Linked DNA regions of Canis lupus familiaris. The protein of the gene in region 1 purifies or fractionates together with the protein of each later gene. This does not show direct contact. Links are inferred from orthologs where the notes say so. Each region holds a gene or a part of one and is shown in the gene's direction. Other genes may lie near its edges. The genes, in order: STYK1, HSP90AB1 and TMEM259.

Region 1 (3,752 bases):
TGGGGAAGCAGAGTAGAAGATGGCATAATACGAAGTCAGGTCAGTTCACTTGGCTTTTTTTTTTTTTTTTTTTTTTAAGAATTTATTTGTTTATTCATGAGAGACACACACAGCGAGAGGCAGAGACACAGGCAGAGGGAGAAGCAGGCTCTATGCAGGGAGCCCGATGCGGGACTCGATCCCGGGACTCCAGGATCACCACCCGAGCTTAACCGCTGAGCCACCCAGGCATCCCTCACTTGGCTTTTATTAATCAATCATGTCAGAAAAGGTAGGAAGAACAACTGGCCGATGAGACCTCATCCCTTTAAAAAAAATTAATGTAAAATTCATATAACATAAATCACCCATTAACCATTTTAAATGTACAATTCAGTGACATTTAGTACAGTTCATCCGATCTTAAGAGCTCCAAAGGAAGAAAAACTCTAATAGAGAAGCCTCTAGAGAACCAAAGTACCTCAATTGCTAAATACTCCACATTACACTGCACCTAAATTCTTTCTGTTCTAATAGGTGCTCCTTTCTGTTTGGTATGCGAGCTATCAGTGCTGAACAAACCAGCCACCTATTTAAGTTATCCGCGGCCCGCATTTCTTTAATAGAATTTGTATGAAGTGTTAGCATCTAATTTGGAATTCTTTCAGCCGTGTATTCTCTTTTGTGTTTCCTATGATTGTAAATTCCATGGGGGCAGGTCAGGGACAACTACTTCCGTTAATGCTATATCCCAGAAGAGAGCCCAGAGTGTATTTAGAAAGCATATGCTAATGAATGATTACCTGCTAATACTTTTATTTCCATTTATTCCTTAGGGCATCCCCAGCCAAGGCTTGAGGTTGCAATTACCCCAGGAGGGGACTCATCAGGCTAAACCCTGACCAGCCCTTTGGAGCCCTTTGGAGCACCAACGAAGGCCGCTGGGATCAGGTCGGACAGTAGGTGGTGCTGTTGCGCTTTACCAGGCCTTTGCACGTTTCACTTGGACTGACGTCTCCTGACCTGACCCCGGAGCAGTCTCGAGGGGAGGCACTCAGTGAGTAGATCAGCGACGAGGTAAATTTTACCGTTTCAGCAGCTTTCCTGCTGGCCAGTGTGTGGTGAGTCCCGGAAACCTCAGTGCCCGCAGATTTCCCTTTGCGGGGAGCCCGCCCCGACTCCATCCTTTGCTGGCAGCCACGCCCCACCAGTGGGAAGGAGGGACCGAGAAGCATTTCCTTGAGACTGGCACACCTTGTCGTACCCAAACCGATGATTCTTTTCCCCCTCTGGCTGGTCCCGTTGCATCCGAAAGCAGAGTGGCCGGAGGAGGGACACTACCGGTAGTGAACTGGGCTTTGGGGGCAGTAAGGGTGGAGGCCGGATGGCAGTGATGCAGCTGGAGGGGTAGGGGTAGACTCGGACGTTTGGGAAGAAAAGAGGGAGGACAAGAGGGAGAGTGGAACGGTTGTGAGCGGTGGTGCGAATTTTATGCAAACGAACAATAATCACCAGGTGAACGAACCTGTATTTCTTTGGTAAAAACATCTTGTGAGTTTCGACTTTTAGGTTTTTATGACTGTGCAGTGATATGCTGTTCCTTGGTGACCGGATTTCTGTTTTCTTAATTTGTCTTCTCTTTTGCTGTGCTCCTTTCCCTTCTCCCTGTCAACCTCATCCCTGTTTTGTCTCTTGCCTTTCCTTTCATTTCTAGGAGTGTGGCCCCTTTCTGCTAGGAACCCCCTCGCCGGCTGAGTTTCTCAGACGTTTCAGACCAAGCTGTCTTCCTGCTACTTAGGGAGAGCCATCTGTAGTGTGGAAATCACGCACTAAAGCTCCTGTAACGTGCAGCACACACACTGAAAATGCATCTGGACCCGGTGCCCTTGACCTGACTGACCCTCCTCAGCAGTCCTTACAGCCAGCGAGGGGCTAGCTAGGCCTTTCAGGGAGGCACGGGGAGGTACAGTTGACCCTTGAACAACCGGGGTTTGAGTTGTGTGGGTGCCCTTATACCTGGATTTTTTTTTCAATACATTACAGTACTATAAATATATTTTCTCTTCCTTATGATTTTCTTAATAGTGTTTCCTTTTCTCTAGCTTGCTTTATTGTAAGAATACAGCATGTAATACATATAATCTACAAAATAAATACTGCTGGATTGTTTATGTTATTCGCAAGGGTTCCGGTGAATAGGCTATTAGTAGTTAAGTTTTGGAGGAGTCAAAAGTTGTATGCTTATTTTCTACTGCTCAGGGGATCCATGTCCCTAAACCCTACATTGTTCAAGAGTAAATTATACAGGCATACTTCAGAGGTATTGTGGGTGTGGTTTCAGACCACTATAATAAAGCGAATATTGTAATGAAGTGAGTCAAATGAAATTTTTGATTCTGGTGCAAACAAAAGTTATGTTTGCATTGTACTGTAGTACATTAAGTGTGGAATAGCACTATGTCTAAAAAGACAATGTGCATATCTTAATTAAAAATGCTTTATTGCTCTGGTGCTTGGGTGGTACGGGCAAAGTGTTCGACTCTTGTTTTCAGCTCAGGATGTGATCTCAGGGTTGTGAGATTGAGCCAGGCACCAGGTTCCATGCTCGGCATGGAGTCTGCTTAAAACTATATTTCTCTTGGGGTGCCTGGCTGGCTTAGTGGGTTAAGCATCTGCCTTGAGCTCAGGTCATGATCCTGGGATCCTGGGATGGGTGTCCAGCACTTCATTGGGCTCTACGCCCAGCAGGGAGTCTGTTTAGCTCTTTCCCTCTGCCCCTCCCCACCACTCTTGCTCTCTCTCTCACTGGAGCTCATGCTCTCTCTCAAAGAAATAAATAGAATTAAAAAAAAAAAACTTTCCCTCCCTCCTCTAAAATAATTAAATAAATATTAAAAAATATTTTATTACTAAAAACATGTTAACTGTCATCTGAGGTTTTAGGGAGTCATAATCAGATTGCAGACCACTGTAACAAATCTAACAACAATAATAATAAAGTTTGAAACATTGTGAGAATAACCAACAGAGACACAAAGTGAACAAATGCTGTTGAAAAAAAATATAAGGTTAGGGGCACCTGGATGGCTCAGTCAGTTAAGCATCTGCCTTTGGCTCAGGTCATGATCCCAGAGTCCCTGGATCAAGCTCTGAGTAGGGCTCCCACTCAGCAGGGGAGGGGGGTCTGCTTCTCCCCCAGTCTTCCCCCTTGCTGTGCTCTCTCTCTCTCAAATAAATAAAATCTTAAAAAGAAAAAGAAAAAGGAAAAAAATGCAAGCTTGATACACACCTGCAATTTGTAAGAAACACATGATCTGTGAAGCACAAGAAAGCAAAAGGCAATAGGACAAAACACCTGTTTTGCTTCAGTGAAAATCATACACTTTTTCTTTAGAGCCTTAATCACTATTAGTTTGCTAGGGCTGCTCTAATGAAGTACCACAAACTGAGTGGCAACATAACTTCATTCTCTCACAGTTCTGGAAGCTAGAAGTCTAAAATCAAGCTGTTGGCAGATCAAGGTTTCTTTCTGATTGCTAGGAGGGAAAGTTCTGTCCCAGCGCCCGCCCCCCCCCCTTTTTTTTTGGCTTGGAGATGGCTGTCTTTATTTATGTTCATATGGTATCCTTTCTGCATACGTGGCTTTCTTCAAATCCCCCCCTTTATTTTTTTATTTTTAAAGATTTATTTATTTATTCTTGAGAGAAATACAGGGGGAGAGAGAGAGGGAGAGAGAGAGAGAAACAGAGAGAGAGAGACAGAGAGAGAGAGAG
Region 2 (2,808 bases), on another chromosome or scaffold:
CCGGCGCCGCCTTTCTGAGCTGCTGCGTTACCACACTTCCCAATCTGGAGATGAGATGACTTCTCTTTCAGAGTATGTGTCCCGTATGAAGGAGACTCAGAAATCCATCTATTACATCACTGGTGCGTTGGAGCTTGGGTCTGATCAAAGGCTCTCAGGGTGAAAGGGAGGGAGGACATTTGGGAATCTCTGGGAACTGGCAGGAGGCGACATTCTGACCCGAGTCACACTCCATAACTCTACAGGTGAGAGCAAAGAGCAGGTTGCCAACTCCGCTTTTGTGGAGCGAGTGCGGAAACGGGGCTTCGAGGTAGTGTATATGACAGAGCCTATCGACGAGTACTGCGTGCAACAGCTCAAGGAGTTTGATGGGAAGAGTCTGGTCTCAGTTACCAAGGAGGGCCTGGAGTTGCCTGAGGATGAAGAGGAGAAGAAGAAAATGGAGGAGAGCAAGGCCAAGTTCGAGAATCTCTGCAAACTCATGAAGGAAATCTTGGATAAGAAGGTTGAAAAGGTGAGCAACTCTGGGAGTAGGGCATGTGTCTTGTAAACAAGTGCTCTCAGAATCTTGTGGCATTACACAATTAGATTTATTTTTATTTTATTTTTTTTATTTATTTATTTATTTTTTTAATTTTATTTATTTATGATAGTCACATAGAGAGAGAGAGAGAGAGGCAGAGACACAGGCAGAGGGAGAAGCAGGCTCCATGCACCGGGAGCCCGATGTGGGATTCGATCCCGGGTCTCCAGGATCGTGCCCTGGGCCAAAGGCAGGCGCCAAACCGCTGCGCCACCCAGGGATCCCTAGATTTATTTTTAAAGATTGTATTTATTTATTCATGAGAGACACACAGGCAGAGAGAGAAGCCGTCTCCATGCAGGGATCTCGTTGTGGGACTCAACCCCAGGACTCTCCAGGATCATGCCCTGGGCTGAAGGCAGGCACTAAACTGCTGAGCCACCCAGGGATCCCAGATTTTTTAAGATTTCAATCATTTATGAGAGAGGCAGAGACCTGGAGAGGCAGGTTCTCTGCAGGGACTCTGATGCAGGACCAGGACCACGCCTTGAGCTGAAGGCTGATGCTCAGATCCTGAGCCACCTAGGCATCTCTAGCTTTGAGTTTTTGAGTAGAACTCATATAACATATAGGGATCCCTGGGTGGCCCAGCGCGCGATCCTGGAGATCCGGGATCGAATCCCACGTCAGGCTCCCGGTACATGGAGCCTGCTTCTCCCTCTGCCTGTGTCTCTGCCCCCCCCCCCCCCCCCCCCCCCCCGTGACTATCATAAATAAATAAAAAAAATGTAAAAAAAAGAATTAAAAAAAATAGAACTTAACATATAGTCATTTTGGCCTGGAAATGATAATCTGATGCACCATCAATGGGAGTTTCTGTAATTGTCTACAGGTGACCATCTCTAACAGGCTGGTATCTTCACCCTGCTGCATCGTGACTAGCACTTATGGCTGGACTGCCAACATGGAGCGGATCATGAAAGCCCAGGCACTCCGGGACAACTCTACAATGGGCTATATGATGGCCAAAAAGCATCTGGAGATCAACCCTGACCACCCCATTGTGGAGACGCTGCGGCAGAAGGCAGAGGCAGATAAGAACGACAAGGCTGTCAAGGACCTGGTGGTGCTACTGTTTGAAACAGCTCTACTCTCCTCCGGCTTCTCACTGGAGGATCCCCAGACTCACTCCAACCGCATTTACCGCATGATCAAGCTAGGCCTGGGTGGGTGCCAGTTACCAGAGTGTGCCAAGGAACTGGGGAGTTGGTCTCATGGGGGACAAAGATGATTTACTGGTATTTGGATCAAAGTTCACAGGCCTTTTTTACTTTCTAGGCATCGATGAAGATGAAGTGGCAGCGGAGGAACCCAGTGCTGCTGTTCCTGATGAGATCCCTCCACTTGAGGGTGATGAGGATGCCTCTCGCATGGAAGAAGTCGATTAATTTCTCCTTGCAGACCTTGTGCCCTCTGTATAGTGTCCCCATGGCTCCCCAGCAGCCCTGAGTGGCCCCGGTTCACCTGGTTCCCTCTGCTGATGTCTAGTGGATTTTTTTTTTTCTCCTCCTGTCTTTGTTAGAGGCAGGACAGAAGGGCCTTAAGCCCTAGCCCTCATGACATTTGACAAGGGGTTTGGATGTGTATTGTGGTGTTTGTTTATTTTGTTCTGAGATTAAAGTATGCAAAATAAAGAAGATACGGTTTTATACAGTTATGCTCTCCCTTGTAAAGTGGATTTCCTGCTGCTTTTTGAGTTTCCTTAGCTTTTCTTTTTTTTTTTTTTTTTTTTTAAATTTTTATTTATTTATGATAGTCACAGAGAGAGAGAGAGGCAGAGACGCAGGCAGAGGGAGAAGCAGGCTCCATGCACCGGGAGCCTGACGTGGGATTCGATCCCGGGTCTCCAGGATCGCGCCCTGGGCCAAAGGCAGGCGCTAAACCACTGCGCCACCCAGGGATCCCTTCCTTAGCTTTTCTATCCCAAGCTTTACCTGGTCATTCTTCAGGTACATTGAAAACTAAGGTCACCCTATAGCCATTTAGCACTTTTCAAGTCACCCAACATTGCTTCTAAAGGGTAGTCTCAGACCAGCATGTGTAACACCATGCCCTTTATATCCGTCCCCTTCCTAAAGCATACACTTCAGTCAACCAAAACACCGGACTTTAAAGCCCATTGCAGCAGTTTAATTTAATAAAATAAAATTATAAGAGCAAAAAGTTACATTTCCAAGGTACCAAAACCTGCAACTGGCTCTTTGAGCAGAACCTAGGGATCCAGG
Region 3 (3,162 bases), on another chromosome or scaffold:
GCAAACACGATATTGGGGAGAGGGGCTGGGCCCTGTGGGAGGCTCTGCAGGCATGTGGGGCCCCAGCTGGCCTTCCACGCTGCCATCCAGGCATGGGCTCCAGCGCTCTTGTCACTGCAGCACCTGCCGTGACCTGAGCACCTGGGGCTCCAGGGCGGCTTGGGCTCTGCTCAGGGGTCTGTAGTGTCCACATCACCGTCCCGCAGGGGCACATCTGGAGAGGAGGCTTTGGAGTCAGCGGGTGGGCCCTGGCTTCAGGCGGAGCTGGGCCCGGATCACAGCAGCGTGCTCAGACACGGAGCTTCTCCGTCCCCTGGCCCCGCATCCCCCTGGCTGGGATGAGAGCATGGGGTGTCTGCCCCGTGCAGGGCCCGTGGTCCACGATGGCATGGCAGCACGTACGGGGCTTGTGGCAGAGCACAGAAGGGACAGGGCCGTGGCGTCCCTGCTGCTGGCCATGTGGCCGCGAGTAGCCGGTGTGTTGGAGGCTGCACTGGCCTGAGGAGACACAGCCCCTGGGGTCTCCAGCTCCTTGCACCCACTTCTCTCAGAACCGTCACGTCGGGCCAGCTGGGCCCTTTTCCCAAGGGCTGGGGTGGTGGCGGGTACACAGTTGTGATGCCTGGACGCGGCATCCTGTCTGGGGGAGTGACCCTTGGCCAAGGCCTCGGAGAAGGGCAACCATCAGACCGTGAGGGGGGCTCAGGGGGAGGGATGGCCCTTTTGATGCACCTACAAGGCAGCAAAGGTGCTGTTGGTGGGGCGTCGCAGGGTAGCCACTCACCCCCCCCCCTCCTTCCACGCTGCTGACAGCAGGCAAGTCTGAGGGGGATGGGGGGAGCAGCTCCCCTGGCCCCACCCACCCTTGCCAGGAGCCCCCTGCCCCATGTCCCTGGGGGCAGGGTCACCCTGGGCGAGAGCTGCACGGTCCCTATTTTACAGATGGGGACACTGCCTCCCAGAGACGCAGCAGGTTGCCCTGCCAGCGTGGGAGGGGTCGGGCCAGGCAGGCTGTGTGTAGCTGGGAGGTCAGGGCAGCGCGTGAGGCTGCTGGGCAGGCCCGAGCCTGTCTGACCGGACCCCACGCGGGGGAGAGGCCGCCCCACTGGCTCCGGGCCATTCCGGGGCCTCCCCGGGAGCGGGCTCGGCACAGCGCCTCCTGAGCAGGGCCTCAGGGTGCCTGGGCCTCCGCGCTGACCGGCTCCCGCCCGCAGGCGCTGTTCGTGCTCTTCGTCCTGGCCTACATCCACATCGTCTTCTCACGCTCGCCCATCAACTGCCTGGAGCACGTGCGGGACAAGTGGCCCCGGGAGGGCATCCTGCGTGTGGAGGTCCAGCACAACTCGAGCCGCGCGCCCGTCTTCCTGCAGTTCTGTGACGGCGGCCGTCGCGGCAGCTTCCCCGGCCTGGCCGTGGAGCCGGGCAGCCCCGAGCCGGAGGAGGAGGAAGAGGAGGAGCTGGCCGTGGACATGTTCGGGAACACCTCCATCAAGGTGAGCGGCACCCGGCCGGGCCCCTGGCTCGACTGGGCCTGCTGGTCTTGGGGCGGGACTGTGGCGGGCAGGGGCAGGGCCTTGGGCCGTTTCCCAGCCCTTCCTGGAAAGGGATTGGCCCCTTTGTGGGGACGCTTCCTAGGAGCTTGAAGCCGGTCTTGCCTGTCCTAGACAGGTGGCCACCTGTGGGGTGGTGAACGCCCTGTCACCAGAGACGTGCAGGTGGCTGCCAGCACGGGCAGGGGTCAGGCGGATGTGCGGCGCCCACGGTCTGCAGGGAAGGACTTGCTCAAGCAGCGAGAGGCTAGGGGGTCCCGTGGTTGGTGCAGACCCTTCCTTAGAGATGGCCACTCAGGAGCGTGGCTGGCGTTAGGGTGGAGCATTTGGGTGTAAGGAGTGGGGTGTTAGGAGCTGGGTGGAGGGTGTCCCCGTGGAGGCTGGAGGTCACAGCTGCAGGGGGTGGAGTGCGGGGCCCTGCAGTCAGCTGACCCCTTCCTCTTGGCACTCCGCAGTTCGAGCTGGACATTGAGCCCAAGGTGTTGAAGCCACCGGGCGGTGCCGAGGCCCCAAATGACAGCCAGGAGCTCCCCTTCCCAGAGACGCCTACAAAAGGTACACACCGCAGGCACCCGGCCCGCACATTCAGGGGAGCGGGTGACCCTCCATCTGGAGGTTGTGAGTTCGAGTCTTGTTCTTCGTTTCTACTTTTTAAAGGTTTTATTTGTGTACGTGTGTGTCTGTACAGTGTACGTATTCCAGGAGTGAGCAGAGCGTGTGCACAAGTGGGGGGCGGGGCAGAGAGAGAGAGACTCCCTGCTGAGCACAGAGCTGGACAGGAATGCAGGGCTCCGTCCCAGCACCCCGAGATCATGACTTGAGTTGAAGTCAGACACCCAGTGAGCCACCCAGGCGCTCCTGGGCAGAGAGATTTCTTAAAAATCTTAAAAAACATAACAAACAAACAAAAATTTTAAAAAACAAAAAAAATACACGTTTCCTGGGCTGAACAGGTGTGTGCAGCAGGTCACATCGGGGTCACCACCTGGGGCCGCACCCCGATGCAGAGGGCCCAAGGGTCTGAGTGGCCATTGGTGCTGACCTGGGAGAATGGCCACTCTGCCTCAGTTTCCCCATCTATCAGCACACGGGGCCGTGACAGATGCCCTGGAGCCCCCAGTAACTGGTTTCCTTCTCTGGGAGCCTCATCTGTGAGAGGTGGGCAGGGGTCACGGGGGCTCTGAAAGTCCCATGTGGTTTGTGTGATGCATGCAGGTGCTCCACCAGCCTCCCCAAGCCCTGAGCCGTGGGCGGGCCCTGCCTCTCCCCTCACTCCCCAGGGCCACCAGGAGTGCTCACCCAGCTCCTGAGGGAACAGGGCTAGGCCAGGGCTCTGAGGCTCACTGGGCTTGTCCCCACAGTATGGCCCCAGGACGAGTATGTGGTGGAGTACTCCCTGGAGTATGGCTTCCTACGGCTGTCACAGGCCACGCGGCAGCGGCTCAGCATCCCCGTCATGGTGGTCACCCTGGGTGAGTGTCCCCTAGAGCGAGGCCGTGGGGCTCTCTGAGGTCTCAGGGTCTCTTGATAGGCTGCCTGGGGGTAGCCCGGAAGCACTGGGGTCCCAGGTCTGGGGGCTGTGTCTGCTCTCCCAGCTGCAGAAGCTTCCTCT

What was found.
Region 2: the proteins of STYK1 (region 1) and HSP90AB1 purify together in Homo sapiens (affinity purification with mass spectrometry; 3 studies listed by BioGRID and IntAct, with this or other methods). This does not show direct contact. The link is inferred for Canis lupus familiaris from reciprocal best matches to the Homo sapiens genes STYK1 and HSP90AB1.
Region 3: the proteins of STYK1 (region 1) and TMEM259 purify together in Homo sapiens (affinity purification with mass spectrometry; 3 studies listed by BioGRID and IntAct, with this or other methods). This does not show direct contact. The link is inferred for Canis lupus familiaris from reciprocal best matches to the Homo sapiens genes STYK1 and TMEM259.

Annotation. Positions count from the first base shown.
Region 1 is NC_049248.1:11,057,014-11,060,765, reverse strand, and holds the start of STYK1 (tyrosine-protein kinase STYK1), read left to right. Parts: upstream 1-1,042; 5' UTR 1,043-1,322; intron 1,323-3,752. UniProt on the Homo sapiens protein: Probable tyrosine protein-kinase, which has strong transforming capabilities on a variety of cell lines. When overexpressed, it can also induce tumor cell invasion as well as metastasis in distant organs.
Region 2 is NC_049233.1:12,852,019-12,854,826, forward strand, and holds the end of HSP90AB1 (heat shock protein HSP 90-beta), read left to right. Parts: coding exon 1-122; intron 123-245; coding exon 246-514; intron 515-1,415; coding exon 1,416-1,749; intron 1,750-1,861; coding exon 1,862-1,971; 3' UTR 1,972-2,240; downstream 2,241-2,808. UniProt on the Homo sapiens protein: Molecular chaperone that promotes the maturation, structural maintenance and proper regulation of specific target proteins involved for instance in cell cycle control and signal transduction. Undergoes a functional cycle linked to its ATPase activity.
Region 3 is NC_049241.1:58,177,776-58,180,937, forward strand, and holds part of TMEM259 (membralin), read left to right. Parts: intron 1-1,214; coding exon 1,215-1,493; intron 1,494-2,005; coding exon 2,006-2,105; intron 2,106-2,911; coding exon 2,912-3,022; intron 3,023-3,162. UniProt on the Homo sapiens protein: May have a role in the ERAD pathway required for clearance of misfolded proteins in the endoplasmic reticulum (ER). Promotes survival of motor neurons, probably by protecting against ER stress.